Astyanax mexicanus: one gene and its partner. The protein of the gene in region 1 binds, or shares a complex with, the protein of each later gene. Links are inferred from orthologs where the notes say so. Each region holds a gene or a part of one and is shown on either strand. Other genes may lie near its edges.

Evidence for each region.
Region 2: the proteins of fbxl5 (region 1) and ireb2 are in contact, whole or in part, in a cryo-EM structure (PDB 6VCD), measured with the Homo sapiens proteins. The link is inferred for Astyanax mexicanus from reciprocal best matches to the Homo sapiens genes FBXL5 and IREB2. Residues at the interface, in NP_036293.1 of Homo sapiens: Asp656, Glu657, Tyr661, Cys662, Asp663, Asn664, Ile665, His669, Ala670, Asp671, Thr672, Ala673, Ser674, Gly675, Cys676, Gln677, Asn678, Leu679, Gln680, Cys687, Arg688, Ser689, Gly690, Glu691; in NP_004127.2 of Homo sapiens: Asp89, Phe90, Ser129, Asn217, Val220, Glu221, Arg224, Arg228, Ala758, Gly759, Ser760, Arg763, Asn764, Thr777, Pro778, Arg779, Asn782, Ser783, Tyr784, Gly785, Ala786, Arg788.

Annotation. Positions count from the first base shown.
Region 1 is NC_064420.1:11,516,494-11,533,890, forward strand, and holds the start of fbxl5 (F-box/LRR-repeat protein 5), read left to right. Parts: upstream 1-10,226; 5' UTR 10,227-10,294; coding exon 10,295-10,378; intron 10,379-12,287; coding exon 12,288-12,503; intron 12,504-17,397. Other genes in the region: syap1 (synapse-associated protein 1), read left to right, coding at 591-709, 1,098-1,164, 1,284-1,357, 1,451-1,590, 2,593-2,747, 3,069-3,127, 3,222-3,369, 4,174-4,301.
Region 2 is NC_064409.1:42,470,193-42,486,630, reverse strand, and holds the start of ireb2 (iron-responsive element-binding protein 2), read left to right. Parts: upstream 1-9,389; 5' UTR 9,390-9,472; coding exon 9,473-9,497; intron 9,498-16,438. Other genes in the region: slc25a44a (solute carrier family 25 member 44a), read right to left, coding at 1,215-1,406, 2,797-2,924, 4,752-5,385. UniProt on the Homo sapiens protein: RNA-binding protein that binds to iron-responsive elements (IRES), which are stem-loop structures found in the 5'-UTR of ferritin, and delta aminolevulinic acid synthase mRNAs, and in the 3'-UTR of transferrin receptor mRNA.

The DNA of each region.
Region 1 (17,397 bases):
ATTCAAAACAGGTACTTTTTATCTTATTTTACTAAACCCAAACACATTGCTACCTATCATTTATTATTTTTATTATCAGTGGGTACTTAGATGTTTATTTGAATTTATTCATCATTTAATAGCACTGCTTATTAAAATTACAGGTTGGTAAAATGCCTCTGAACTAGTTATCAAGGTGGAATAATATTTAGAAATTGTTTCCTCAGTTCACTAATGTGTCCCCTCTAAGCTGAGGGAGTGACTGAAGTAAAGTGAAATTGAGGGTGCTAAATGTTTTAATTTTTTGCTAATATTTTTTTTAATTGAGGATTTTTTTAGTTTAACAAACAAGTGATACCTTAAACTGAAGGAATGATTTATTACATTAAGAATACGTATTGTTAAACTAAGGAAACAAAGTATTATATCAAGGGAATGTCTTACGTTTTACTGTGATAACTTTGGAGCTGTGTACCACGACAGACAGAAAGTTAGTTTATTGATCCATTAAGTGCTTAAACGTTTATTAACAATGCTATTTAATATCTAAAGAAAATAATAGTTCTAGAGGTTTTGTGCAATATGCAATATTTTTCCCTTTCTGTTTCAAGGATACATTTTCAACTTTGCCAGCAGTGCAACCAAGAAGATATCTGAGTCTGTTGCAGAGACGGCAAACAGTATAAAGAAAAGTGTAGAGGAGGGCAAAATAGATGGCATTATTGACAAGGTAATTCTCACACATATTCCTTCTCTAATTTCTATACATAAACAACAATATATTAATGTGAATTTAGCAAAGCTCTGAGTGTTTCAGTTAAAAAGCTGAGTCTGTATTACTGGTTAATACGTTTTTATAAGTAGTCACATATATATGCAGTCACATATAATCACACGTGTGCTCGAGAAGATGCTGTTTTGCTTAACAATGTATTGGAATAATTTTAATAATGTCATATTACGCTTTTTCAGTGATACCACATATCATCCCTTCAAAGGAGACTAGTTAAAATAGTAACTTTTCTATCACTTATTTTAATAATGATTTCAATGTTAAATGGATATGAAGTGCTTTATTATTTTAACTTACATGCCCAGTTTTATCTGTCTTTCCTCAGACCATTCTAGGAGATTTTCAGAAAGAGCAGGAAAAGTTTGTGCAAGAGAAGAATGCTAAAAAATCAGGTGAGTATAATCAGACACAATGTGAAATATAAAATTAGATTGCATTTGGAATAGACATCTATTGTCCAATATCACTGTGCTGAATATTTTTGGATGTAATACTTTTTTTTTTCCTGTAGACACAGCTGTGCCTCCCTGGGTGGGATACAGTGAGGAGGAGACTATCCAGCAACAGATACTTGCTCTATCAGCTGTAAGATTTATTGTTCCTGTTTGAAAAAAACAACAGCATTCATCTTAAAAATATTCAGTATGAAATAATTTTTTAATACTTGCTTTTTTCCAGGACAAAAGAAACTTCCTTCGTGACCCTCCAGCCGGCGTGCAGTTCCAGTTTGATGTTGATCAAATGTATCCCATTGCCCTGGTCATGCTGCAGGAAGACGAGCTGCTTAACAGGATGCGTTTTGACTTGGTGCCCAAACAGTGAGTAAAGGACAGCAGGCACTTTCATCTGTTCTGCACCTTCTGTTCTGAGAAACAGCTGAAGAAGGGAAACTTTGTTTATATCTGATGTGATGCACCACTGTTATGAAGACGTCAATACTTTGAGTGTTATTTGCACCCCCTTGTGGAGAATCTAAAGTTAAAATGTGTTGAAAATGAAAATCAATGTAGTTGTTCACTTAATGTTATATAATTAAGTACTGGTTAATTTTATACTGATTAATATATTAAAACAGTAGTAAAGTATGTAAATATTACATGTAAAACATTTTATTTATTATAATAATATATAGGCTTTACAAAAGAATTGGTAAATATTTGGTAAAAATGTGTGATTTACAGTATTTTAACAGAACTGTTTATTTAAAGCTATGCTTTTAAGATTAATTTTCATAGAGTGAACAAATGTCAAATACATTGTGAACACAGAATCTTAAAAAAAACTAAGTATGTGGGTTTTAAGAAGCTTTTTTTGCGTAAGTACGGTTGTATGGGTGATTAGGGCACAATATTGTGTCATCAAGCATATATACATACAGAAATGTGCTAGTAATATCTTAGACATCCATGTGAATGAATAAGCTTTCTGAGTAGTGTTATAAAACTCTTAATATTAACATAAAAACAAAATGTTTATACAAAAGTTTTGGTTTTATATCTCTGTGATCCCTGAAACATCCTTAAAGCTCTGCTCATGGAGTCTAGTATTATTATATTTACCATCCCTCTGGTTTTGCAAATCAGAGCTTAATGATGACAAATCAGGCAGAATTGAGCACATCCACTGGAGCACTGGCTGGGGAGATGTTCCAAGAGAAATCTGGAATCAGGCTTTGTTCTCCAGACTCGCTCACAATATCTCAACTACTTTCTTTAGAATGATACTTCTTGTTGCATTTTAATGTATTTATGTTAAACTGCATCTGTTTAAATGTGCACAGATTTGTATTTCTCAAGTGTTTCTGTGTCTGTGTGCTTTAGGGTGAAGGAGGAAGTGTTCTGGAGGAACTATTTCTACCGTGTGTCTCTCATAAAGCAGTCTGCTCAGCTCACAGCGCTGGCAGCACAGCAGCAGGCTGCTGAAAGAAGAGAGGAAGAGAAGAACGGAGCTTCTCCACAGACCGAGAGCATACCAGGTTTCACCATCATCTCACTAGAGTGCACTACAGTGATTAGTGGTTCTTAATCCTGACTTGTAATAGAGAGATTTGTTGTCATTACTAATGCTACTGTAAGCTCAACACGCTGCTAACTGGACTTTAGATGCAGGCATGTTCAACAGAACTGCGTAATGCTCGGTAACCTGAGTCATATTAGTGTAATATTACTTTACTGCCTCAGTCCACATCCTTTTTTGCTTTCAGTAACAGTTCTGCATCTCCCTGCTTGTCCAGAAATGCATGTGGTCTTTTGCTTTCATTTTATTGTAAAGTTTCAGCATTTTTCTTCTTTAACAGAAACCATCAGACCAAAAACACCACCTACAACCATCAATGCGAAACCCAAGTCCAATGAGGTACAAAAGAACCCCAACTGTTCACATTGTCAATTGGTCAGTAAATAAATAAAAACAACGACAGTGAATGTTTCTTATATGAATTCTCCTGCAGCACGAGGAGGAGGAGATCTCTACCAGCCCTGGCGTTTCTGAGTTTGTGAGTGACGCATTTGATTCATGTAATATCAATCAAGAAGACCTGCGGAAGGAGATGGAGCAGCTGGTTCTGGACAAGAAAGAGGATGTGTCCCCTCAGGATGGTGAGTTTTTTGCTAATTTGTAGATGTAGGTGCATTTGTAGATGTAGGTGCATATGTAGGTGCCTTGCCCATGAACTAAAGCCACACAAAGCTAACCACTAACAAATCTTCCACAGATTTGTTGGTGGTTAGTGTATGGACAATAGGGGTGTACCACCTCATATTATACTCAGTATATTGTGATACAGTAATATGGTGATTTGAAAAAAAACAACAATATTGTAATTTTAGTCATACGGCTATTTTTGGAATAATTGTTGCAGTTTATACGCATGCACTAAATGTTCTGTGCTTAGGTATTGTGGTAGATTTTTTTTGCTACATTGTATTCATGTTATATTTTGTTATATTATTATTATTTTATTTAAAATGATCAGAGTTCTGGTTGTTTATTGTTTGCAAAACATGTGTTTACATTTACCATATATCTGCTCAATATTTATAACTATTACATTTATTTTGTTGCTGTTGTATATTCTTGAAATTAATCTTATTAATTAATCATACTGCTCACCCCTGATGAACAGATCAGATAAAAGTTCACCTTTTTACCACAAATGCTCATTGCTATGTTTGAGTGGAAAACTCCACAACACCATCAAAACCTTCTCTTAACTGTGAAGCATGGTGAAGAGAGTGTTCTGGTTTGGGGCTACTTTGCTGCACAGGCCCTGGACACCTTGTGATGATTGCGGGAACAATACATTTAGAAGTGTATCCAAATATTTTACAGGAAAATGTACAGGCAGCGTTAGATAAAAGTCACTTACTTGTTCTCGTTTTTGTTTTTTTTTTCTTAATCAGAAGATGCATCAGAGTGGGAGAGGGAGCTGCAGAGGGAATTGCAGGAGTACGAGGTTGTGGCAGACACGGAAAACCGTGATGACAACTGGGACCGTGAGATTGAAGAGATGTTGCAGGCTGATAGCTAAACTCTAGATCTCTTAGATCGTGTTCTGGTGTGGACACAACTCTGCATTGGAGGAGAAGAGCGAGAAGATAATGGACCAGAAAAGAATCAGCCAAGAGTGGGTTTTAGAAGCCACTATGTTAAGACAGGCTTAGTATCATGCTATATGATTTCTTTATAAAGTGTCTTTATATAATATGTTAAAATGAATTAAGAGGAAAGGTCTTTTAGGAATCTCCCCCCAGGTTTAAGGGTAGTTGGATCACTTTTTTTGGCTTCTTGTCAAAAGGCATAGCGTCTACTGTAAGCTTTGCTGATGAAAAATGGTTAGTTTTGTCTTTTTATAGTGGGGAAGGATCTGTCCATGTGTTTTAAACTTATCTGCAACTGATTTTAGTGTCAGAATAAAGAGATCAGAAAGCCTTGAGTTTAAACACAGCCAATTAGGTCCCATATGACCTCTCTGAGAATGCATAGAAAGCATTTAGTCCATTTTTATTTGTTTTTGATTTATTTACACCATTTGCTGCCCTTTCCATTGTGTGAATATTTCATAATAAATGGACCAATAGAAATGTTGCAAAAAAAGTTGAAATCAATTCGACTTTTTGCAAGTTTTGAACTTTTTCCCTTTTCTCCTTTTGAGATTCAGTTTCAGGGAAGACATAAGTCATGCTTTTGGTGACTGGTGAAGTTTAGGCTAGGTATTTGTGTGCATACCACCCTGGTAACTCCTGAAGTGTTTTACATAGAAGGACTTTTTTGTCAAATAAGGGGTATTTAGGCAGATTAGGTGCAGATTTTTATTGGTGTAAGATATAAAATATAATGCGCTTAAAAAAAACAGCACACTTGGATAACTGCACATTTGGCTTGAATGAAAACCATCTACACTGGCCCATTGCACATAAAATTGGACACCCCATAGTTTGACAAATTTAAAAGTAACGTCAACCTTACCCAATTTTAAAAGAGCAAATCAGCAGTCCTGTCACACAGTCCTTAAGGATAAACTTCAATTTGGAGTTTGAGCATAGGTTAGCTCTAGACCATTAAAGGTTTATTGTGGCCTCTTTGTCCAATACAGAAAAGAATTTATATACAAAAGTATAGTAATAATAATTTATCATTTTGTTGTTTTTTTCTGTGTTGATTTCTCTTTATCTGCTGCATAATCACACTTTTGTGTCTGTCATTAAAAGTTGTGTCTTTAAACTGTGTGTCTGTGGAGACTGTCCCTTTGTATTTTCTATGAAGCACATTCAATTCATGTACAATATACTCAAGGCCTAAACTTTCTAAAAATGACCAACACTGTACAATTGATGGCAGATTGCTCTAGATTTTACTGGGACTGTTCTATGTTTTTTCCTGTTAAGTATATCTTATTAAAGAGATTTTCCTAATGAGCAATAATATTTTTTGAATATAAAAGCATGTTGTCATTGCCACAGAAAGAAAAATCTCAATATTGTCTTAGTATTGTTGATTCTGGCAGTTGCTCTTTACATTGATTTAGAATAGTATGATGAATGAACCAATAACCTGCTAGTCCTAAAGGTTTACATTATTTTGCCAATTTAATTTTTCTAAGATTTTTAAAACAGTTTAAGCATTTCAGTTATTCGTTTAGCTATTTTCATAGCTACTGTATGTCTAAATATTCCCTGTCTACCCTGTCATCTTGGGATAACTTGGCCTAGTTCAGTGAAGTAACACCTCTACACTTATTTAATGTAAAGCTTAAGCTGTCCACCCTGTTGGCCTAAAATATCAGGGTAATTAAAATAATATTTATCTCAAACAGAACAAGATCACTATGAACAGTGCAATGTGTGCAACTGTAGGTCAACCTTATTTTTATTAAAGGCCATTATTTTAATCAGAAATAATGACAGTAAAGTTGTGATTAATAGTCATTTTTTACATGATTGACCCTATTACTGTAAATATAGTTTCACTGTGATTATCTAACATTGACTTTTATTTTAGATTTTAATATTCATTGTTAAATGTTTTAATGTTCAGTAGGAAACTGAAGATATGACACTGATACTTTTGACAGCCCGTATAACACTAAATTTGCTGTTCCCTCAAAATAACACACTGTCATAAATGTCTAAAAAGTGAGTACACCACTAAGTAGAAAAGGCCAAATTGTGCCCAAAGTGTCAATATTTTGTGTGGCACCATTATTTTTCAGTTGGAGTTTATTAGAGATTCACAGGTTGCTACTTGAATCCTCTTCCACTCCTCCATGGTAAATAGTGCTGGTAAATGTTAAAGACTGTTAAAGAGCGCAAAGCTCTTCCACCTTCTTTTTGAGGATGCCCCACAGATGCTCAGTTGGGTTAAGTTCAAGAGACATACTTGGCCAATCACTTTTATGTTGAGCTTCCTCAGCAAAGCAATTGGTATTTTGGTTTGGGGCCTTTATCATATTTGGAGTTTCCAGCTTCTGCTCTGCTTCAGAATGTCACAGGAAATTCTCCCCAGTGCTGCCAGCACTCACATGGCCCCAGACAATGATGTTATCACCACCATATTTGACAGTAGATAAGGGATAGTTTTCTTGGTAGTCCTGACCAGGATGCCACAACACATTCTGGACACCATCTGAGCCAAACAAGTTGTTGAGGCAGGACATGGTTTCAGTAATCCATGTTCTTTGACTGCGTGTTTTCCTGTGCATCATCTTCAGAAGAGGATCCCTTTTAGGACTTTTGCTGTATGGTCTGAGCACTGCAGGCTGACCTCCCATTTCTTCAAGCTCTGCAGCAATGCTGACAGCACTCTATTTTTTTAAAGCCAGACTATGTATATTACCATTGGCTAGGAACCGGGGGGGTGGGGGGGGATGGGGGGGACATATTAGAAACAGGTGGTTGCCCCCCCCAAAAATGATATCGTTTCGCTCAGATCAGCTGTACTAATGAGGAGACAGACCGGACCAATCACGGAGCCAGTTCATGTATTAATTCCCGCCTCTCAGTAAAAACAGCCAATCAGCTTGCTGGTTTTGCGACGCGGGGAGGAGAGGCAGTGTGCTGGTGGTGGAAGCCCCGCCCCCTCGCTGTGAGATTTAGCAGCGGGATCGGGCTGCAGCAGCAGCTGATTTAAAAACAGATCTGGATATACGGAGATTTAAAAAAAAAAAAAAAAAAAAGGTAACGATAGGCTAACCACGTCAACAGTGATGATATGTTTCTGATAGCTGGTTAAAAATACACGTCTCTGAATCAGCAAAAAGTTTAATCCCACTGTGATTAATAAACTGCAGCTGTGTTAGTGAGTTAGCTTAACTTTGGAATTAGTTATATTGGGAGTCAAGGTTAAAGAAAAAAACTATATATGTAATGTTCAACTTGCCCTGTACCTGATCAGCTAATCGCTATTTCATTTTGTCAAACTGTGTTTATTAATTTAGGATTACAGGACTTACTGTGAGCTATAATGAACGAAAATTCATTTAGTTAACTAGTTTGCTAGAAGCCAGATGTAGTGGATAGCCAGAATTTAGTACAGTACTTTATGTTTTAGTTTAAAGCAGTTTCTTAACCCTGATCACTGCCCCAAAATTGTGTTTTCCACCTGATCCAGCTGATCGGCTAATAAACAGTCATTTACCGAGTTTACCTGTTAAAATCTCTTAGCCCCCTATGGAGCCTAAATTAATCATGTATATCCAGCAGTGTATTAAACACATCATACCACCACTTACCCTATTAAATGCCTTTAAAGCAGAGGGAGCTCTAGAATATGGAGAACAGTGTTAATATGCAGTATAACATGTAAGAACAGGGTTGAGAAACACTGATCTAACCTGACTTCTGTTAATTTGTAGCTCAAAGTGACCACATGTCTATGAAACGCAAAGTTACATTCTTTTACATAAAAGGACACCATCTTAAGAAGAGCTCTCAGTAGAAAATAATAAAGCGCAGGAGAAAACGTAAAGATATGACAGAATTGACATGCCAATAAATAATAATAATAATAATAATAATAATAATAACCAAATAACATGTTTAGGTTGTAAAGTCACATTTTAATAATAATTTACTTTTAATTAAAAGTAATTTCCACAAATGTTGTTCTAGGAAACTACAGGGTGGGCTTGGGTTCATATTGGCAAATGTGTCCCCCCAATTTCAAACCCGCTCCTATGCCCTTGTATATTACACATGAACACGTGAACTCAAGTTCTTTGAATGACTCTGAGAAGGCCTGTTCTGAATGGAACCCATCCTGGAAAGCTGCTGTATGACCTTGGCCATCATGCTGTTTTAGGGTGTTAGCAATCTTCTGATAGATCAGACCAGCTTTGTAGAGAGAAACATTTCAGTTCTTGCCACAATTTCTTGCCATGAAGTGCCATGTTGAATACCAAGTGGCAAATAACAGAGAATTGTACACAAAATACCAAATTTAACACTAACGAGTGGCATAATTTGGCCTTTTTCACTAAAGGGCTATCTATACTTTCTGTTATCAGCACAGTTTAGACATAAATGGCCATGTGTTCAGTTATTTTGGAGGCACAGCAAATTCACACATGAAGCTGTTCACTGATTTATTTATTTTTTTTTAGTTGTGTCCTATGAAAAGATATAATAAAATATTTACAAAAATAGGGGTGTACTATATATTTAGAATACTGTAATACTGTGCCTTCTGATGTCCTTGGGCACAATTTGGCCATTTTTTTACATAGGGGTGTACTCACTTTTGTTGCCAGCAGTTTAGACAATAATGGCAATGTGTTGAGTTATTTTGAGGGAACAGCAAATTTACACTGTTATACAAGCTGTACACTGACTATTTTACACTTTACAAGTATGTAATATAGTTATGAGACCCCAGAAGGCACAGTTTTGTGCTGAAGGCTGTGTAGTGTGTGTTAGGGGCAGATCAATTTAAAATATTGATAGTATTGATACTAATGTTGGTATTTATTAATACTTGTGTGATGAGATCGATTAGGTTTCAGTTCATCTTCTGTACAACTCCAGGCATGTACAGATTAACCGACTGGCCATAAAACACTGCTCTTCTCTCATTTCACTCATACTGAACTAGCCCATTTTATGCCTTAGCAAGCAAACATTAACTATAGACGTAAACCTAACTAGCCATTATTATTCCCTTCCTCCATCCCCATGCTTACATTATAATATTATAAGGCTGTTTTAAACTTTACAAAATTATTCATTAACTGCACAGTCATTAAACATGTCTGACTACCCGACTACTAGGTACACTTAGCCCCAGTAGGGAGCTCTAGTTTAGCCGTGAGATAATGTAGGTTAGTACGTGCAGTAGTGAGAGAATCTATGGCGTTAGCTAATTAACTATAATCTCTAGTTTGCTTCTTAAGTTTCGGTTTATCTTCAGTACAACTCCAGGCATCTACAGAGTGACCGACTGACTGTAAAACACGACTTCTCTCTCACTTCACTCATGCTCAATTAGCCTCTCCCCTTTTCTAAAACTAAATAAATTATTTCACTGGAACTGAAAAATAGATATGCTACCTACAAAAAGATATAGTTATGCCTCAAAACTGAAATATGAATATGGCTGAATACATATTTTATGTTAACTGTCAAGAGAACATTGGGAAAAATCTGTTTGTTAATTGCAAATGCAGATTACCACCCCAAAAGGGGCATTTTAAGTTTTCTATAAACTGTGTTTTATTACCATCAAAAACATAATTATTTATAAAATAAAACAAAATAATTAAATAATAATAAAAAAAAATCATTCAAATTTGCATATTGATGATGCATTCACTTAATAAATTGCTCTCCCCTACACAAAAAAGATGGTAAGAGTAAAAAGTATTCATATCAGTATCGGCAGTACTGGCCCTTTATTTCCTTGGTATTGGATCGATGGAAATTTTTGCAGTATCGCACAGCCCTGCGTGTGTGTGCTGGTGCGGTGTGAGGGGTCAGGTCTGATGGAACTGTACTGCTGTAGTGGAGCTGTGTACTGAGTCCATGGAGCGCGATGGCGCCTTTCCCGGACGAGGTGGACGTGTTCACTGGGCCACACTGGCGAATGAAGCAGCTGGTCGGCCTTTACTGCGACAAGGTATACTGGGAATCCGACCGCTACCTGCTTTACTGGTTTTCATTAACAATTCATATTGTTTAATGGGTTTAATAACGTTAACGGTCGTTACGGTGCTTAGTTACAGGCTCTCTGTTTATCTAGCCTAGCTTAGCTAACCAAACACTAGAGCTCAGCGTGTTTATTGTGGCTGTAAATCGCTAGTTCACCATTATTATCACTTAACATGTAAAGACATTAGTTAGAAACAGAAAATAACACTAGTGTCGTCTTCAACACTGTGATAGAGACGGAATTAGCTTGACGTAGCCTAGCTAGCTAAAGCTGAACCAGGGGTGTGTTGGTGCAAAAGAATGAAAGCCTTGGAAATAGCTAAGGTTAGCTAGCTAACGTAGCTAAGGTAAACCCAAATGTATTTTTAATTAACGGACAATAGCACGTTACTACACAGTTTTATGAACACGTTGCTCTCCAAAATCTCTCTAAAATAAGAAACAAGCTCTTTCAAATATTCTGAAAAAGTGGACTAAGCTACACTAGCCTAACATGCTAACCCAGCTACACCATTAGCTAGCCAACGTTAACTGTAGACGTAAAGCTTAAGATAGCTAACCTAACTAGCCATGTTTCCTTTGCTCGGTTCCTGTGCTTACATCATAATCTTATAAGGCTGTTCTAAACTTTACAAAAGTATTAGACTAATATTCATTAACTGCGCAGTCATTAAACATGTCTGACTCCCTGACTAACTTACTAGCTACAATTAGCCCCAGTAGGTAGCTGTAGTTTAGCTGCCAGCTAACGTAGGTTAGTACGTGCATTACGTGCTGCTGTGGTGAGAGGATCCCTGGTGTTAGCTAACTAACTTACCATAATCTTTAGTTTACTGCTTAACCCACATTATTATCTAACTTACGTTAGGTGCACGCAGTTTGAGATTATTGACTGTTTTCCCAGTTTATGTTATCATACATTTAATATAAATGGTGCTTTGCTGTGTGTTTATAGTGTCAAATTGGTTAAAATTTGTTTGTTATAAAACTGCTGTTCAAAAAATCATTGCTGCACCATTGAAGTTTACAAAAGAGCACCTGGATGTTTTAGAGAACTAACTGACTGGTTAAATATACTGTGGATAGATAAAACCAAAATTAAGTTGTTTGGAAAGAACACACAACGCTATGTGTGGAGAAAAAAGGCACAGCACACCATCAAAACCTCATCCAAACTATGGTCTATGGTGGAAATTCAAGTACTCACAAAGGTTTCACATACTTTTCTTGCAACTGTGTAATGTTAATTATAGTTCATAATTCATTAGGAGTATTTTTAGTTTTCCTTATTAAAAGAAACATGCTGTCTCATGGATAAATAGCTTATAGTTTAATTTGTCTTTTTAAGTAAGTAAACATTATGGGAAATATAGTTTGTTTAGGGATTGTATTGATTGTTTGGTTAGTCAGTAATTGTATTATCTTGTCAGGCCTACTACTTGTTTTGTTTTTTGGGGAGTCGTTAAACAGAGTTTAACTAGTTAAAAGTGATCATTACAGCAACAAAAAGATGCAGGCTGCACATGCTTACATAAGCAGCCTAAACTGCTCCCAATCTTCCCTGACTGCTGCTTAGTCTCAGCTGGCTAGACATTTATGTGTAGACATTTATTGATTATTAAAGGTGTTGAGGACAAGTCTGTGGAGTATAGCTACTTTTTAAACACTCACATGGAAAGAGGATTGGCAGAAGTGAAGACCAGCATCATAGCAAGTATTATTTAGCTTTATTTATAAATTGATTATTTATATTATATAGCTTATCTTTAATTATAAAAATGTATTTCAAAGTTATTTGCCGTATCACCTAATACCCAACATATGCATATTAGATATTGACACCTTTTTCCTTCTTTCTCTCATTTCACTACATACAGCTGTCAAAGACAAACTTTTCCAACAACAATGACTTCCGCGCCTTCCTGCAGACGCTCTGCGCCACCTTCAAGGTGTTCAAGATCCATGAGCAGATTGAGAATGAATACATAATCGATCTGCTGCAGCAGCGCAGCCGTACCATCTACAACGTGCACTCTGACAACAAGCTGTCCGAGATGCTGTTGCTTTTTGAAAAAGGCCTTCGCAATGTCAAGGTGCGTGTCAATATCTGTGCACAGACATAACATGCTTTACATGTAAGTGTTTGTAGATATCATCTTGTCCACCTTTTTCTTCAAAGCAGAGATATAATTGTTATTATCATTATTATTATTGAGTTTTGACCTCCTTGCTGAAGAAAGGCTTTAGACTTTAATTAACTTTAACGTTAATTTGTTTTACCGCTCTACTGGAGTTGTTTATTTGATATTTGACTTTAGGCTTATTTGTGGCTGCTCAGTTCGGCAATGATTTTCTGTGGAAATCGTTGGGCTTATCAATATATAATTAATATCAGTATATACAAAACTGCCTTCCACAGGATGATATCTTAATATTGCAGTTGCTACACAGGTTTCCATCTCAGTTGTTTCATTTCTAGAAACAACTTATGTGTTGTTTGTGTGGAAACATTTTGGTTAGTTTTTCCCTCACTGAATCTCTGTGTGTGGGAAGACGGTGACACTGTTGAGTGTCGTCTGTTAATAGTATCTGTCCTCGCCCATTGCAGATATGTCACCACTATAATAATGGGTTTTTTAACTGGTGTTTAAGGATATTTATGCCAGTGTTTTAATAAGAAGTTGTTATATTGCTGAGGCGCTGTTCGCATCAGGCACAGTCAAGAATCAGCCTTATTGAAACTATAGACAAAAGTCTGAATAGTTGCTAGATTTTTAGATTGCAATGCTTTTCAGAAGAAAGGTAAAGGTTACCTAGAACCATAAACGATTAAAAATTTCGAATTAATCCATAAATCTATTTAGGTACCCATAGAAAATAGTGTGTAATGTTTGTGTAATTTCACATTTCAAGCATCTCTGCATATAATTGTTTTTTGAGATTGTCCTGTGATAATAAATGCCATGCAGATGGCTTGTTTCTGTGGATTTTGCTGTAGGCGTAAAGTAATGGTAGCGCCTCAAATAGCATTTCATGCATTTTCATTCAGGGATAGGTCTGGCAACGCAACTGGCCATGGTGTAAAATGAGCATTGTCTTGTTGGAATAGTGCACCAGCACCAGAGTGTGCGTTTATACAAAATAGGGCCACTGGTTGCAGGCCCTCATTAATGGGCTTTAATTAAGGTAATAGGGCATTATAAAAAATTGCACCATCTACTAAAATACCAAGTCTGGTATCTGGATGTGTGATGCTTGACAACAAACCACTGATCATGGTGTTCCACACATGGATTCGCTGGTCATCTCCACCAAGACAAAAGCAGAACAGTCTTTAATGACCAATCCTGCTTTTATTTAAAAAAAAAAAATATTATCATATGTGAAGATTATCATGCATTCCTGGCTGCAATGCTGTTTCAGCAAATCTGGTAATGAAACTCTGACGCTGCTGCAGGTTATAGATGCTGTTCTACATGCGCACACTCCAGAACACAGAAACAGTTAAATGTGTCCAGCTTGTCTTTCACTACCCATGTTTGCCAATCAAGTAATTTTCCACTCTGCTAAGCCAAAGGAAATTAGGACATTCTGTTCTCCCGCCATTAACAGGATGGAATCAAGTAAACTGATGTAAATAAATCACGTCTGTTTCTCAGTCAGTTTATTTACACTCTTCGCTCTGCTAAGATTAGTGCTAGACGGACACATCCGGCTTATCAAAACGATCTTGTGGCGTAAATATTTGGGAGTAGGGACCAGTGTGCAAAGCATGGAACTGTGCCTTTCTGTTTGCAGATCCCATAACGGCAGCCATGTTAGCTTACAGTCTGTTGCACTGCATAGTGTTTTCAGCCAGTGATGGCATTTAGAACTGATCTCAGTTCTGCTGCTTCAGTACAGGCAACTTCAAAGTATTCTATTCCCAGATCAGGTTTTGCACTCCCACTCTTTATCCAGGCTGTTGTTGTAGCTGCTGCCCACACTGCGCTGGGTGGAGGCTGGCGCTTTGCTGTGCTGGGATGACTCAGGGTGTTGTGACAGTGTCTGTGATGGGCAGCCGGCAGCTGATATAAATATGTGGCATTTTGTTTAAAAACAGTTCTCCTCTTGTATTTTGCTGTAGTGTTCAATTATCTTATTATATTTAGTAAAGCAAAATATTGTACTGTGTATAAAGTTGTTTGCAAAAGCATGCATTCATGGTTGGCCTGTCTGACAAGAAAATTATGTGATGTTATGTTTAACACATTCATTTCAGGGTTTTTTTCTTTACAGTGTTTTCTCTCTATGTGAAATGCTTTACCTGCATTTAAATATAACCTGTGGACTGTAATATACAGTGGTAATTTTCAGAATATTTATTTATAAATCATTGGTTGTTTGGATCAGCAATTTCAGTTAAATAGATCATATGTCAGACGAACACAGAGCAGTGAAATAAAGTTTATAGGATTTACAAAAAGTGTGCAACAATTCAATAAACTAAATTAGGCAGGTGCATAAATTTTTACATTAAATTGTTTGGTAAGCTCATTGACCCCTAACCCAGGGGTTCTCAACCTTTTCTACCTTACAACCCACCTGTTTACAACTTGAAAGCATCAAGGCCCCCCTAATAATAATAATAGTAACTAATAAATATTCTAGAAACTCAGCTCAGTTTCTCAAAACTCTAAAAACAAACTGAAAATTATTAACTGCTTTGTTGAAATTCCACAAATCTGATTCCTTTCACCAAAACAACACATACAGCTATTTATATGCTTAGCTCTTGCAGAGCATCAAATAAACACTGACAAGATAAATTCAAAGCACTATTATCAGAAGTATTTGGTTATGCTTTTGACTTCATAAGGACACTGTACATATTCAAATGCATACAAGTCCATGGAAATATGTTGGCTTTCTTTGAGTTCTTTATACAGAGTAAAGCCCCCCCTAATAATAATACTAATAATAATAATAAAATATCTGAAACAGTGATTTAGGCTTTCCAATTACAGTACATGAACTTCTTACCGGAAACATACTCTAATATTGTGCTTCCTTTGTATTTTTACCTCGAAGTATACACATAAGAGTAGCACGGTTTGAGAGGGTAGCACAATTCGACAGAACACCTGATCACTTGGCTCGCCATGTCGGCGTATTCGTGTGGGCGTATCCGTGATGCTTTTTAATTCAACAGGTGTAGTCAATCAAAAGTTTAAGATTTTTAAATCAACCTCACTGTGTTCTATAGTTCTATAAATCCGTTTTCAGCTTATCCTCTGTGGTTGAAAGGCAGCTGTTTTGTGTGTGAGAGGCTCGTATCACTAGGGCTGGGGCGGTATTGATTTTTTATAACCGCGGTAAAAAACTAACGCATCACCGCGATATTGCGGTTAACCGCGAGAAAAAGACGAATTAATCCACAGCAAAATTTTCCACTGACCCCCGGCCCTGAAAAAAATATATTTCTCACCCCTTTCCTCGGGCCGTTCGGGCTCAAGGCTCAAGAAGTCTGTGATAGGCGTCTGTTTTTTTTTTTATTCACACTCTTCTTATTTCTCATTAAATATCTACTAGATACAGATTATATCTGTACAGTATAGGGTTGTCACGATACCAAAATTTTTACTTCGATACCGATACCAACTGTAGTATCACGATTCTCGATACCAAAACGATACTTGGAAGAAAAAAAAACAATAAAAATATCTGAACATAAAATGTTTATTTTTGACTGAACTGGATTGAACACTGAACAATCGGTGCAAACGTTTTTATTCTAAAATGAAACATTTGTACAAAAAAACAAGTTTCGTTATTATAACCTTAACTATAACATAATTATCTAAACACTTCCTAAAAACTAAAACTAAAACCAGAGGTAATGGTAGCCTGACTATGTGAACCTGACGGGCGGGCAGAAGTTAAGTTCTGAATAAGGAAAATAAAGAGACAGAAGAACATTACAATGTTATGTTCATTTTAACACTGACTGCTCCATTTTATTAATCAACCGTTTACCGTTTTTAATAAGCCCATGTTCAGTGTAACGATCAAGCAGGCTACGTGCCTGACCATAGATTTGCGATGGAAACGCAAAAACGTGAACATCTTGAGTTCATGTTTCACAGCCAATGGGATAATGGAGAAATAGAGAAAACCACGGGTCCAAAACAAAACTCCTGCACACTCCTCTCCGTGTTAACGTGATTTACTAGCAGTCGCTAGTAAATCTTAGTAAAGCTACAGACAGAGTGTATCTTGACTAACTCCACTAACCTGTCGACTTCTCAGCTCTTTGTAGAGATCAGGGTGCTTGTCTGCTAAATGAATGAGCGAAATACGATCAGAATTATGTTAAATAACACTGTAACATAGAAGCATAGAACTATTATTTAATTAAAATGATTTTTAAGAACAGCTAAACACAGTGCTGCAAGTCAAACGCGGAGGCGTTCACGTGCGAGAGAGACACAGAGAAAGAGTGAGAGAGTGAGAGAGCGAGAGATTTGCGTGTTCTGATGTGAGCTACTCACAGGTAAAGGTTCTCTTTGATCTCCTCGTGCTCATATTCTAGTCCCACACATAATTCTGCAGCTCCCTCAGTGTTTTCTGTCGTATTTTGCGGTTAGCGCGAGCGCTTACAACTAACACCGCGGAGCGCGAGGTGCCGCCGAATCCGCTACTGAATCCGACTCCCGCTTCGCGGACAGAATCGGCACAACACCCCCCGCTGTACAACTGCGGGAGTGAAAACAGCGCTAATAAATAAAGTAGTTTAGTTTCACTTTCAGTTTTCGTTATTTTATTTAAAAATAAAAATATCAATAAAAAACAGATGCCTACATCTCAGACTATTTTCCCACACTTCACTCCTCGCGCCCATTTTGTCCACAAGTCGCGGACGAGAGACATCTGTTATTTTAGCCGTCGCCATTCTACACTCGCTGCTGCTCTGCTGGCTTGCGCGTGAATCGATTCATTTGTTCAGAA
Region 2 (16,438 bases), on another chromosome or scaffold:
TGAATACTGTTTAAAACATGTTGCTGATCAACTCTACAGCTTGCTGAGGTGGAAAAGTATTTGCTGGTGGTCTTTTGAGGATGAGTTTCACCAGCCTTAGCATCTTCTGTGCTTAGGTCCATTCCATAGAAAAAGAATTGCTTAGCACTTTTCAGGGGCCTTGATAATATCAATTAGTGTGTTTATATACACTTCATAATTTGATTACTGCACGAACATTACAGATGGTGAGTAATTCGATCAGTGCTTTGCATGAACATTGCAAATCAGATAAGAAAACTCAAACTTACATGAGTCAGGCAAAAATGATTTTTTTTGTTTTGCAACTAGCCACTAAACTAATAAAGTTGCAACCATAATCCAATAAGGTTCAATCTGAACATCCTTCATTTCATACTATGCCTTTTTCTTTAAAACATTATCTTGCAATATGAACATACATCAGCAAGAAAATTAAGTTTATTTAAATACTTTGATCAGTGCAACTCCGAAAATGTTTCTGTCTTTTTTATGCACAAGCAAAGTGAGAAATCTGAGAATACTTTGCTGAATAGTATAAACAAATAAGAAATTACATTTCTTACATTCCTTTTGGACCTTAAAAATGGTGCTTACATGACTACATGAATAATGAGAACTGCAGTAATCTGATTACGTATGGGCATATAAATGCATTTACTGTGCCCAGGCCAGCTTAGATGCTTCTATGGAAAGGAAAGATGTTATCTGACAAGCAGAGACCCTGTGACATTTAAACAGCATGTGTAAATGCAAAAGTGGAGCCATATAGATTTTGTGGCCTGACTAGTGTGCATGAATACAGTTTTAATTCTTACCAGATTTAAAAACTGACTGTTAAATTTAGTGTAGTGTAGCTGGAAATGCTGGTTTTGGATGGGTCCACTATGAAGCACCATTACACACACACACACACACACACAATCAGGCCATAACATCCAAGCTAAAAAAATTATAAAATACATATCTCTACATAATCCAGAAAAAAATATTAGCACTGCACAAATTTCTCCTGGTCCTCTTTCCAAAATCCCTGTTTTAAAATCCATGCAGCCTGACCACACGTTAAAATATCCCAAAAGGCAACTGTTTAAAAGGCAAAGAGGCCTAAAAAGAGAGGTCCAGTCCATAAAGCTCAGCTCTGAGGTAAAGTTGTCCTGGACTGTGTTTCAGAATCCACTCCTGGGCTCTGCATATCACCAGTGTCTGGTGTGAACCAGCTCAGGCCTCAGACTGAGCCTTTTCAGTGTCTCGTAGCCAATGACGATAAGGATGGAGGTTGGAGTCGAGGAGATGATGCGTGCAGACAGACCCTTCGTCAGCCCCCACATTCCCTCCTCTGCCAAGAGCTGCTTAAACGTCTCAATCACAGATGAGCGGCCTTCAACCTTGGAGGAAATGATAAATTTAGAACTATGGAAAATTCTTTAGGTTTCCTTCTTAATACACTCGTTTGGATAAACCACTGACACAAGCAGAAGACACCAGAGAGTAGTATTTAAACTCCTACAACTTTAATTTATGCCTTCTCTGGCCTACACAATATATTTTAGTCTTGTGCACTTTAAAATTGTTAGAAGCAAGCTTTATATTTTACAAAAAAATATTTATAGAGCTAAGATCTACATGTAGGTATAAAATTCCTAATAAATAAGATGATGTGACTATCTTATAAATAAGATGTTTAAAAAAACAAAAACTGATTATAAATAGCTCACTTTGACTAGTGTATTAAATTATCTAGAACCGCTTTGCTGTACTGCTTTAAGAATTTTAGCTGTTGCCTTAAGGACAATCTTTTGAATAGGAATAGGAATAAGAATAGGAAACCATTTTCTTTTACTTTCTACTAAATATGGAATCAAAAGCATCAACTGGATCACATACTAGAATGTGGAACTGTCCTTAGATGGGGAATACATTTAAATACTTGTTTTTAGCCTCAAACTAGGGGTACTTTGAAATTCACCCGATGCCCCTGTTCATAAGACATTTTCTAAGGATTCTCCCAGTGAAAATAAAGAAAAACATTCTCTGTTAGGGACATGAGAACATTCTAGACAACGGGTTATAGATCAAAAATCTCCAGAGGGTAGATCTTCAGAACCAGGAATGAGTACCCCTACCCTAAACTGTGTTCAAATCTGCAGTTTCACCTTCCTCTACGCTCGGTCAGTTTTATCTCAAGATAATGAGATTTAAATCTGTCTTTGATATAAATATGTTTTGGAAGATCAACAGTGTGTATTTGCCTCTCGCATCAAGCAGCAAAAAAGTTGTAACATTTATTAAAATTAGACTTATATGATATTGCAAGTCCTGCAATGTGACTACTGCACATGCTCATATTGCAGTGAAAGATGTTGCATGCTTACTGATCTGTGTTTACTTCTACCTTTACTGGAATAATTTATTTTTAGTTACGTTGGTGGATCCACACTTACCGTATTATATTTAGTAGTATGTATCAGTATTTATATTATTCAGTATTTTGATTTTACGTAATCGGACAGAATACTGCTTGAGTGTACTGAGTGCACGACTGTAATGCTTTCAAAAAGCCTTCTCAAAAAAGCTCTTATAAACTGCAGCTGTGCAGCTTTAGAATGCATCTTAGACATTCCGGAAATGCCGTGCAAATAAACAGATACCATTAATGGGACTATGCATTAACTTAATTGTTATACCAGTGGGCCAGTGTGTTACAGTCATATAAACAAAAATGTGTTCTAAATGTACTTTACGTTTGTGAGTAGAATGACAATGACGTTGTGATACCTGTACTCTGGCTCTCACTACATCCATAGGGTTTGTAATGGTGGAGGCAGTGGCTGCAGCCATGGGCCCAGCCACAGCCTGCAGAAGCAGATGAGGGCAGTTAGAGGGAGCCAGCCTGGATAGCTGCTCTGTTTTAGAGACAGACAGGACATAATTCATCAGACATTATACAAACACAACACTATATGATATAATAAATAATTTATCTGGCAGTTGTTTACACTGGTCCCAAATGTCATAATTATTGGACCAACAGAAATGCTCCAAAATTACAGCAACAATGTATATAAGTAATAGGAGTTAAGAAGTGCACAGAAGTCTTTTTTAATACAATAACAGAAACACAGTAACCTACACCCTGGGCATTGGGCCATTTAATAACTGGTTATGATAACTGGTTTAAACTTAACACATAAGCCGTTCGGAACCTAAACATCAATTTGACAATGAAATAAAAACAGGCCAAACACAGTAAGATGGCTTTACAAATCTTATTTTTTGTCTCCTTGTTCTCAGTATGCTGCCATGACAAGCGTATTTACACTGAAAATAAATGAACACACCCAACATGTGTCTAGATATGGTAGGCCTAGAAATAGTATTTCAAGGCTACAGTACACTTTGAGAATTTTCAGCTCCTCATTTACTCTGAAGTCCTTCTACCACAATCCCAACACTGAAATATGGGAATAACAGGCAGCATCATGTTGTGGGGTTCTTGACATCTTGTCAATACTGCAGGACTAATGAATTGTGCAAAAAACAGGAAGATACTATAAGACACTCTGCTTTTGTCAGTTGAAAACAAAATATTGGGAGATACTTGTTGTTTCAGCAGCACCAAACAGAAAACCTTCTACAAAGTCTACATAGTTAAAGTCCAGATCTGACATTAACTCGATGTAAGTGGCACTATTAAAAACTGTCATGCACAAGCATTTTCAAACCAACCTGTACCACCTGGAGCTGATTTGAAATGAAGTACAACAGGTAAAAATTGCTTCTAAACAGTGAGCAAAACTAATTCATATGTAAGCAAACAGAACTTTTGTGTCAAGAGTCCAAAATAGGGTTACTGTTTTTTTTTTGGTTTTTTTTAAACATTCTATACATTTGGTCTAAAAACTTTCATCACCGTGTGGAATGCACTTTTCTATACTTTGTACACAGATATGCGACAGATATTTTTGTGTTTTCAATTTGACAAAATGCATTTTTAAGTGTTATTATGATATCATGATGTCTTATGCAGCATCATGATTGTAGAGGATAACTATTGAATTCCTTTATTTCTGTTTATAAATAAGGGTTAATGTTCAGTTACAGAAGACGCGGTAAACAAAAGTACAATCTATCATGCTTATATGCAAAGGGCAGTCAGATTTTGGCACAACATTTATTTTTATGCCATTAAAAAAATGACAGCCTGCTTTAACTTCTTGTTTTGGGTGCAAAAGTCTGCAAATAAACTGGACCGTGGAAGTAAGACTCCGATTTTGTTCAGACCGATGTTGTGCCTTTGGTTTGAACTGTGGTTAAAGGCACCTCTCATACCTGCTCTTGTGGCTAAGACCAAACTCTAAAAGGTCTTGACCAAACAAGACAGGTGTAAAAGGTGCCTTTAACCATGGTTTAAACCAAAAGTATGTGTTTTCATAAACAAAAAATGTTGGGTTAAAAAACAATATGTTTCAATGAATGTGAGAACTTTAACGCAGTTGAATGTACTTGATCCTGGAGCTTCAAGATATCTATCTATTCGGGATCAATAAAGTATCTATCAATCCATCGATCCATCTTATAACTACACTTAAAACAAGCTTGAGATATCTAGTATATGGTCTGGCCATTCTCTGTGAACATCCTGCTCTGAAGAAAAAGTTACATACTTAAGAGAACATTGTTCAGTGACAAGACTGTGCATTAGGAAGGACATTCACCAGCATATAATTTACCTGCATAAAAGTGATAAAAAGGCCACCACAAGGCACTGTTGGGGATGTAGGTGAGGAGTGAGGCCACATATCCACGATAAAACCCCTGAAAACCATCTGCTGCAAATATCTGCACCATAATGTCCTTGGTCTGTCCGAAAGTCACTTTATGTTTAGATGTGGCCACCACCATCTTGGACTTGAGCTTAAAGCGTGTGAGATGTTCTCCCTGGCCTTGCATCATGAGCTGCTGGGAGACAACGTCAATGGGAACAGTGATGCTTTGGGCCACCAGTGAAGCTGAGCCCCCAGCAACCAGTGACTTAAGAGTGTTGCTGGAGGAATACTGAGACACGTACTTTCTCACCAGCTCATATGTGGTGATGTAGGCTTGCCCTGAGATCAGTGTGAAGGTGTTGACCATAAAGCCCCGATACAGTCCCTGCATCCCTTCTGCTTTCAGGATCTTACAAAAGGCATCAAAAGTGCCGTTGTAGAGCGACTTTCCCTTCTGAATCTGAAGTCGAGTTCGGATTAGGGTGAAGGGGTAAACAGTAGCACGAGTTGTCAAGGTCATGAATACACCAAGGGAGTAAAACTTCCTTTTGTCCAGGTCCTCCCATTCTATAATCCGGATATTCCGTTTCTGCTGCATTATTCCAGCTGATATTATTCTTCACCTGACAGGCCTTGCACCACCACACCTGTCCATTAATCTGCAGACATATAGACAATAAAGAGGATAAGGTCAACAGAAAAAACTAACTGTAAAGCTCAAGTATAGAGTACCAGTCAAAAGTTGGGACACATTTTCTGAATCATTTTTTTCTTTTTTTCCCTACATTCTAAATGAACACTGAAGTCATCCAGGCTATAAAGGAATACATGAGAAATCATGTAGTAACCTAAACTGTTAAACAAACCAATTTACTTTTATCTGGGGTGCTGTTAACTTGTGGTTTCTGAAGCTGGTAAATCTGATGAACTTATTCTGTGCAACAGAGATAACTCTTGGTCTTCTTTTCTCTGTGAAGTCTCAATGACAGCCAGTTTCTTCAAAGCATTTTGGTCCTTGCGACTGCACATGAGGACACTTTTAAAACTGTTAAGTCTTTCAGATTGACTGACCCTTATTTCTTAGAGTATTTTTCTGTACTTAGTTGAGTATTTTTTGCCATAATATATATTAGAACTTTACTCAAATATGGCTATTTACTAGGGGTGTGACGAGATATCATGCCACGAGATCTCGCGAGATTAAATTTGACGATATTTCTCGTCAAGCTTAAACCTGTCTCGCGAGAGAAAAAAAAAGTTTAATGTGGACTTTTTAAGAGGGATCTGATTGACTGAACCCAGTAGCAGCGAGTGTGAGAGCAGCTCTCAGCAGAAGAGGAAAATGGGCGGACCGCGGTCCGGACCCAAACGTTGTCCAATGCGGACCCAAACCGATAAACTACTGAGAAGGATTTAATTGTGTTATTTCTATTCCTTATAGAATCAATGTGTGAGAGAAACCAGTCTGTTAAGTTTGCGGTATATGATTTTGTCCAAAGAAAAAAAAAAAAGTTTTCTTTAAAATTTTATTTTTAAATCTCGTCTCGTCTCGTTATCGTGAACCCAATATCGTGTCTCGTCTCGTCTCGTGGTATTAGTGTCTCGTCACTCCCCTACTATTTACTGTATACCAACTCTATCTCTTCACAACACAAACTTATGCTCTCAAACACATCAAGAGGCAAGAAATTCAAGTAATTAACTCTTAACAAGTTCAGCACAACTGTTAAATCAAAAAGGCCTTGCAGGTGACTGTACCTCATAAAGCAAATCCCAAGATTTTGTCATCTAAGCAAGGCATGCCTACTATGAAGAATCTAAAATATATAACATTCTGATTTTTTTAACACCTTTTTACTAGATAATTACATATTTTTCTTCATAGTGTAAATGAAATTATTATTAATCTACAACACATAACTTTTTTTAATAATTTTAAAAACACTGATTTTTAAGGCGTATCCAGTGTCCTGAAATTCCATTTACACAACACATTAGAAATTAGGCTGGGACTTGTGAACAGGATAAGAAAGAAGGGTTGAATCAAACAGATGTTGAAGGCTTGGAGTTTTGTTTAGCTAGTATGTTATTATAGCACACCCAGCAGTGTCAAGAGACCAAAGGTCTTCACATGATCAGTGCAAAGGTGAGGCAAGCCCACCACACTGAAATTATTAGCGCGAGATGCGTTTTGTGAATTGTTCAAAAGGGCAAATACCTTTACCCACCTGATACCTTCACAACCTTATACAACTCAAAGCTTAAAAAACACAGACTTAAAGAACTTAATAATGGTTAAGGTAACATATTTTACATAATAAGGTTTAAACTGAAATATTTTCAAAAGGCACATTCAGACTATGTGTGAACTCTTGTGATAATTAAAAATATTTAGTGTTAAATGTGTTTGTTTTTTTCTGGAGGTGCTGAACAATAGTTGCTGCTTTTCCTCCACACTGTGCACCAGCTCATCCTAAATCAATCATCTCAATTTTAGGATTTAGGTCAGGGCATTGTGGAGGACAAACCTTTTTTTGTTTACTACGTAATTCCATATGTGCCCCTTAATTGTTTTCATGTCTTAATTGACAATGTAAAAATAAAATAAAGAAACAAAGAAAAACATTAAATGGTAAGGTTTGTTCAAACATCTGACTGGTATTATACTTCTTTTTAGGGATGCATCAAATATTTAACAAACCAAAGTTATGTAGCAAAAAATGGCCAAAAACACCAAAACAAAACAAAAAAACATTTTGTTGCTCTGTCAAATTAGTAATTTTCTATCGAAATTGTAAAAAAGGTTTTACATTCTTTTTTATGTTTAGGCCCAAAATGTACTGTTTTTGTTCATATAGCTTACTGTTTTGTAATATTAAGTTGGCTTGGAAAATCCAATTTACTGTTCTTCGTGATCTTATTCTTATTCCTTTATTTGTAAAAAAATTTATTCACCATCAACTCCCACAGCTTTCAACGTAAAACGAGAAATCTTGCAGAATCGAAGAACAGGATTAAGTTGCTTGTGCTTTTTTTTGGAGCAATATGTTGTGCATTTTTCGTACAGCCAACGCTTTTATGCTTGAATATTATCCCATAGGATTCCATTCAAAGTGTCCGCAAAAAAAGTTTGTCAAAAAATTACGTTTTAGTTTTAGCTAGAACCACAAAATTCTTAGAAACACTCAACCCATTTTCTGTGACATATTAGGTTTTTGGATACTAATCTAGAGACAAAATTATAAGCATTCCACCATTTATCCAAGTGTTTTTGAACACAGCTCCAATAGCCGAAATTTTTAGCACCATTTACTCCAACAGCAGTATTTTCAAGCCAACTTAAGATTTTCTTTATTTAGTTTTTATTTTACGCATTTTTTAATAAAACACGTAAAGCATTTTAGGTTAAACTGAACTGATAAACCTTATACTTATTTGTGTTCCCCAACAGCGTACTCTTCACTGTGGATGTTCTACACACCATTTCTGCTACTACCAGACCTCCACCCTCCAGGATTTCTCAGGCCCACCAGCTACAACCGACTCATGGAGCTGCAGCACTAACCGAACAACATCTGACCTTAATCAGTCTTAACAAAGCGCGTTTATTCGAGCTGACTGCGGCTCATCTTCCCCTTTACTCGCTTCCTATCCTCTGTAGTTAGCGTTGTGGTCAGCTTGCTACATGCAGACAGCTCCTCTTTGACCTCTCAACATCATGTCAATCTGAACTCACTCACCAGGTCAGCTCGACATGATCTCCTCCTCCCACTCGAGCCCTGATAACTAACACACGTCCGCGATTTTAAACACGGCAGCGAACCTCAGCATGTTAGACAGAGGGGTGAATTAATGTCTCTCACGGCCTTTAAACTGGACTGTCCGGCTCCATGATAAAGTCACGCTGTTCTGTGGAGGTTTCTACAGAGCCGGGTTATGGAGAGCCTACCCATTTCCTATTTCCCCCGTTAGATCAAAAATGACTAAAAACCGCCAGAGGGAGCCCGTGGGAGAGTCCTTAGTGAATGGGTAAATGGAGCTTAAGGGCTAAAAACTCAAAATAATCATACTGTCTAACTACTTGTCAAAAGTTTTCCTTTAGTTTTAGAATGTAGAATTACGTTTTAGTTGGAAAGCAAATGAAACCAGCCTGTATGTGCCCATTTGTCTACAGCAAAATGATTTTAAGCAGTAAAGACGCTAGCATTTGGTGCTACTGTGAGTTGACTGGTCGGTAAGCTAATGCTGGAGTTACGGTCAGAGCAGTTTTAAAAGGCTTTTATCTGAAGGTTAAGAGCTTTAAAATAATGTATGCGGTACTAAAACGTTTGACTTTGCTCTGTATTGAGAGAATGTGTACATTATCCTGTATAAAAATTATTAAACATTTACAAACTCTTATTTTGCTCACTCCATTTAAACCCATTCATTTTGGACTCGGGAGCGCCCCTGGTGGTATGACAAAGCCCGGGCTACAGGAATACATTATAATAAAGTTGGAGTTCTCCTCTCTAGAGTTTCTATCTAGAGGTTTCTATCAGCGCCACATCCGGCGCTGTTGTTACGCCACTGCATTGGGCAGGTGGGCGTGGCTTTGACCTCACTCCTGTCGCTAATTGGCTGGATGTGGGGGAGGCGTTACCACACTCCTCTCGAGCAGAGTCGTGTTAATCTCAGAAGTCATCATGGCGCTCACTTCCTCACAGCAAGGTAAGAGCCCTCTCCTCCAGCCTGCGATAATAACTCTTTACCCCGGGGTTTATAGCCTGTCAGCGAGGAGTGTGAGTAGCTCTTCACACAGCGGCGGTGTCGGTTAGGAGAGGAGCTATTTAAAATCCCCCTCTCATTAGCCGACAGGCTAACTAGCTAGCATTGACATAACGGGCTGTTAAAGCTAAAGCTGCCGGTGTTCTGTCGAATTTTCCTACCCATCGATACATGCTTCCCAAAGTTACTGCGCATGCGCCGACCTACACTATTTAATTATTTCTCGTTTTTTATGTATAATTAATCTGGTTTAGGGGGGTTTATGTGTATTAAACAACCTGGACGAACTGTCATTGCACAAACGTGTAAAGGGAAACAAAAAATTACACTTATTATCATAAATAAATACAAAAGCAGTTTGTAATGAGCTATATTTACTATAACTTTGCCATGGTACAATGAATTATGCAATCCAAATCTAATAACGTACATCTACTGGAATATCACTGGGTACATGCCCTAAAATAGTGCTTCTTTTGTATTTTTACAGTTAAATATACATTGGGGCAGCACGGTTCGACAAGGTAGGAGAATTCGACAGAACACCGGTTCGGCTCTGCTGACATTAAAGAGCAGCGACGCAGGACAGCGGGCGTCGTTCCCTTAACTACTAACTTTAGCCGTAATGTGTGGTCCGCAGCGTTAGCTAACTAGCGTTAGGGTAATTAACTAAAGTTAGGTTTCTTAAGAACATGAAACGTTAGCTAACTAGTTACAAATGTCAGCCAAATGTCAAACGTCTTCAGAAGTACGTTAAGGTGTTAGGTTAGCTACGCTAGCTAGCTAACCCAGCTAGAGGTTTGTTCTCAAGTATTGTCTGCCACTGTCCGTAAAGCTCCTGTGTACATATACAGTCGCTGGAGCTGCAACCAATAGCTATTTTAGTCGTCGGATAATGGGACGTTTTCCCCCCGTATAATCGATTAGAGTCTATAGTTTCCAGTGGGCGCAGCTTCTGTTCCAATAGTTACATGTTTTAACTAAGTTACCTCGTCTGCTCAACCTGTGAATGGCAGACTGTTGTCCTGTTTCTGCCTTAACATAAAACTAGATAACTAGATCCCATTACAAATAATAAAGCGATTTATGACTAGTGGTGTCGATTAAAAAATATAACAAATTAAGCACAGTAGAAATATGTGATTAATCACATCTGTGTAACCTGTGAGTGAATTCATTGCTGCTCTCCCACTGCATTTCTGTCCACAGCACTGTAGTGCATTGCAATTACAAATGACCAATAAGTCGACAATTTGTTGTAATTAACATTGTCGATTATGTAGACTAATAAGTGCAGGCATGATAGGAAATACTTAGTAGTCTGTAGATTTGGATGATGATGTGGCTTAAAAGTTACAGGGGGCTTTAATCTTTAAATAGTTGAAGTGTGTTTCATTATGCCTCAGTAGGGGTCTTCTAATCTAGTAAGGAAGAGCATTTGGCTCCAGAGATAAGGAGAGTGTTCCCTCCCTGTCCACCCAACCCACTGCTGGCCTGTAGCTACTGTTGCCGGTTTCCTTTACTGAATTATTGTCTGCAAAGATCAGAAGACCTCTTAGAGTGTGTCACGGAGTGTAATGTCTCTAAATTTACTGAGTTTGTTTGGTTCAAGAGTTACATTAATGTAAATAAATTGGCATACGGTGGTATGTTGACTGCACGTTATTTAAGTTTAGGTTTTACAGTTACAGTCACATTGTCACTAGAGACCGACCGATATGGGTTTTTCTAAGGCCGATGCCGATACCGATCATTAGTGGTCAGAGTCAGCCGATGGCCGATGTGACCTGCCGATTTTTAGTGACGATATGCTATCGTATTATACTTATTTGGCATGCTTAAAATCATACTAGTAAGAGGAGGCACAACAGTTGTAAACTTCACACAATTTATTGAAAATAAGGTTAGCATTTTATAGTGACTTTAATGTTACTATATCACTATATCATACCTGTCAAGTCTCCCGTTTTGGCCGGGAAACTACCGTATTTTACTCCTCTTTCCCGCTGTCCTCCCGTATTAGTATTTTCCCGTAAATTTCCCGTATTATATTAAAATAAAAAATATATATATTATTGAGGAGACAGGGAGCTGACTGCTCTGTGTCTCTTAACCAATCGTGCAGCCGGTTCAAGGAGAAAGTCCCGCCTTTCAGGAGAAACAGCCAATCAGCTTGCAAAGGAGGGTCAGTGTGGGGAAGCCACAGGCAGCTAGTCGGAGCAGCTGATGTTAAAACATATCTGGATATACAGCGATTTTTCTAAAAGAAAGGGAACGGTAGGCTAATCATGTAAACTGTGATGAGATTTTTCTGATAGCTGCTTAAAAATACTCGTCTCTGAAATAAAACACACAGATTAAACCTTAAAAAAAAAAAATACAGCTTGAACTAGAAATGTTAAAAATTAACTAAACTGATCAGGGGTGGAGTGATCAAAAGATTCAGTTTGCAGAATTTGTGCACCCTTTGTTCAATTTTGAATCCATTAAATAAATAAAAAATATATTATAAAAAAAGAGTGCATTTATGCCAAAAAGACATGAAATCTTAACTTTTAAAAAAATATTTGGAAAAGTGTTTTTAATTTGGCTGTATTAAAAGAATGACATATGTAGGAATGTCTGCAACATTTCAGATTCTGATCATCTAATTGTGTGTAAGTGGTTCACATGTCGTTATTTTAGATTTTTTTTGTAAACCTGTCTTAAAATGTACGGGATACTGAACCTACGTTGGGCTGGTGGGACAACTTTAAGCGGACAGAGGAAAATATCCCTTATTTTTTAATCTAAAATTTGACAGGTATGCACTATATGTTAATAAAAAAAATATTACTTTTATTTAGATTGTATTATCCATAACATTTTATTTTATTCATTATATAACATATGTTCTATATACACTATATATTCATGTTTATAGTAGAAATATTATGTTGGCTATTATATAAAATTTACTGTAGGGGCCTACTAATTAACAAATGTATGACTTGTTGCAGTCTGTTAGTCTATTAATTATTCATTTTAATATGTTTAACAGAGTGCAAGAAGACTTCCATAATGTGACAACTTTAGATAGTTACTCCAAAACGGCAAAGCTCATTTCTTCTTCAACTCCATGCAGTTGAAAACGAATGGACATGGGAGGACAATGTTATAAAATGTTCACATTAGGGCTGCAGCTATTATTTTACAAAAATGGGTGACGTTTAAATTAAGAATAAAATTATAAATAATGCAAAAACAGACAGGTGCTGTAATTTAAATATAGCTTTATCTGTTTTTTTTTTTCTTCTTCAAATGAGCTCCTTAGCCAGAGAAACGCGTCTCATCAGCTGTACTGGAGGTTCGGTGCGTGAGCGGAAAATGAGTTGAGAAAGCTGAAGAGCGCGGACTTTATAGGTTCAGGATAAAATGAGCTTTTATCAGAAAAGTCTGGAGGGGGTTCTAAAGTAGAACCCGACAAAACAGAAAATTCTGCTCATCGTTTCATTTAATATCTAACAGCGCAAACCGCTTTAAACGGGTGAGTTTTACAGCAGAACAGCAGGAGGCGGCATGATTTAATGTCTGTTTGTAGTGAAGGAAAAAGAGATGTTTTATTTTAACTCCATTATTTTAGAAACTATTTGTTTTATTAATTCGTTTACAATAAAGCTTATTTATATATAAGGAGAAGTACAGTCCTCTAATAATCCTGACTAACCAGTAATTATTATTTCAGCGCAGCTGATGCTGCGAATATCCTTAAACAGTTTTAGTCCTGCCCTTTTTCATTTCGTCTAAAAATAATTTAAATACTGAAAATATCAAGTGTTAATTTGATTTTATTTACTTAGATTTTCGTTTCTGAAGAAGAGACGTCAGTTATTTTATACTAGAGCTTATAGATAGGGCTTGCCTTGCATAGTCAGGGCGCATTCCAAATGCACTCCTGCCATCAACGCTAAGCATAGTTTCGTTTGGAGAGAAATGCTACAACACCGATGCAGTTGAAATTCTATTCTTTTTCAGTAAATGAAGCAACATCACAGATTACTAATCATGAGAGAAAATATAGACTTTGGGACACTGGATTGTAAAAATGGATGCCTTACCCGTTGAAAGTCTTGCTCACTCTTGAAACCTTGCGCTGCGTTCCAAGTAGCTGCCCGCAGATGTGCCGGATTAAAATCGGCTTGGCCAAATAAGAAAATCGGCCGATGCCGATTGATAAAAAAATAACAAAAATCGGCCGATTAAATCGGCTGGCCGATCGATCGGTCGGCCTCTAATTGTCACTGTCTGATATCTGCCACACCTCTTTTGGTCATTTGACAATGGGGTTAACTTCATAGCTTGAAAAAGTGTAACACTATCTGAAACACAAAAATGTTTTTTCATTTTTCTGTGTCTGTGTTTAAATGAGGTCCAGAACACTGCCCTTACACTTTCTCTGTTTGATACTTACGCTAAGCTATACATTCATAGCTATACTGTCACATACTGACTACTTCCACACTATCCGCATATCTACATCTGTGCATATCTGTTCTGTGCAATATTTGTCTATAGTGTAAGTTATCATGTTTATTGTAATTAAGTGTATTGTAAATAGTGTTTATACTGTAAGTTATCTGTATGTCCTATTTTTATATATTTTATATTATTTTATTACTCTCTTGTAAATATTATTCTTTGCGCATTGGTGGGAATCTGCACCCAAGTTTTTCACTCACATGTACACCTGTACTCTGTGACGTGACAATAAAATCTTGAATTGAATACATAGATGTTCGTGAGAACCACTCAGATTGTTTTGGTTTTGAAAACTACTGTCAACACTGTAATGACTGCCTCTGTTTTGTTAATGATGGTGACTGGTGTTTGTAGAAATTACACTAAATTTCACTCCAGGCCCCTACACAGCTCAAGAGATTTGGGAGAATTATTACTGATCTTTTAAACATTAGTATGTATTAGGGGTGTCACGATTCTCTAAATCCTCGATTCGATTTCATTTTCGATTTGAGGGTCACGATTCGATTCGATTCTCGATTTTCTTGTTTTTTTTTCTTGTTATTATTTTATGCCTCATAAAATTTAAATAATATATTTATTATTATTATTATTATTATTATTATTATTATTATAAATATTATAAATATTATTATTATTATTTATTAAGATATATATGGTAATGCCATCTAGTGACTTTTTTTGGTAGCAACAGTGTGCACTATTAAAACAAGCAGTTTATCAGAGCTGTGTGTGGATGGCTGGTGAAACTGCTCATTACATGAAGCTGCAGTTCTTCATCCAACCACTAGTCGGAGCTGCAGCAGCACAAGCCCCGCTCTCTAAACTCAGTCACTACTTCAGTACAGCCCAGCCACGGGCTACAGAGCTCAGCCAGTCCGTTTTTACCGTTTCTGTAAACAAATAAAGGTTTTAACCCCACTAACCGGATAATACAGCTCACTACAGTTCATCTTTCAGCCCAAGCAGCTAACAGCAGCAGGTTAGAACAGCCGACACGGAGGCACTGCTGGGATTACATTATAAACAGGTCAGTTAGCGCGCTGCTAACCTCAGGATGTTTATAACTACGGAGTTTAGTGGACACACCACGGCCGCCAGGTAAGTCTTTTAAAGGCTACTGAAGACTATTAAAGGCTATTAGAGTGTAACCCCTGGCTCCCAGGGGTTACAAGAGGTTATTGAAAGCATTATTGGGGGGCAGAAATCAGTACAGGCTGGTTAGATAAGTGATGTGGGTATTGTCTTATAAATATTTACACATAACTTATATCTCTCCTGAAAAGCTTTTATTTTAGTCAGAAACACGCTTGTGTTTACTTTATCTGAGAGAAAGATGTTTTTTTAATTCAATGGAAAGCAACAGGTGTAGTCAATTATAAGTTTAAGATTTTTAATCCACCTCACTGTGATCTATAGTCAGTGTTCTCAAGTCACACTGACACACGCATTTCAGCGAGTTCACACGCTCTCACCTGCGCGCACCCACCCCTCCGTTAGATACAGATACAAAACCTGCGCGCACCCCCCCGCCCCCCCTCCCCCGTTGGACAGATAAAAAACAGTGATCACACTCCCGCCGACTGCGCTCATGCAGTGGCTATCTCTATTTAAATGAATAGGATGCGCTGTGTTGGTGCCGCGCCATTTGCGTAGCGCGCGCGGGAGGGATCGTCGATCCTCTTTTTGACTTCGATACTCGAGATCGTGACCTCATTTCGATTCGATTTCGATAAAATATCGAGATCGTGACACCCCTAGTATGTATGTACTAGTATGTTGAAAGGTTATTTTTTTTAGTACATCAGTAAGGAAATAGTAGCATTTGCAATACTTAAGGACTGGTCTCTCTTTCCATAAACATTATTCAGAATGTTTTAAGACATTGTATTTAAAATGTGAAAACTAAAATTTACAGAACAATGAATATTATTTTGTATATTTTAGGCGGGGCCAAATGCCACATTAATGGCACATAGATGCCAGGCAAACTTGGTACAAATCTTGTAGCAAAGGCTCAAATGTTTGATATTGGGATTCCCTTAATTAAGACCACATCTTAGCAAACACTGGGAATCTAAGCTGACTGTACACAAACAGAAGTGCTTTTACAATTGTTTTTTGTTTAAGTAGATTTCAATACTGCGGAAATGGATATCCTAACAACATTTTAATAATAACAGCGATAATCTCTGTGAGAGATTATGTGATTCCCTGTACAAAACTTAAAGGAGCTTAAAGTGGAAAAAACTGAAAGTTGCTGCTTTGTCTTACACTAAAAACAGTGGTTATTGGTGTAAGCTAGCTTTGCTACTCATTAATTGGGCTGAAAGGTGCACTCTGGATAATACCGGTCTCCTGTTAGT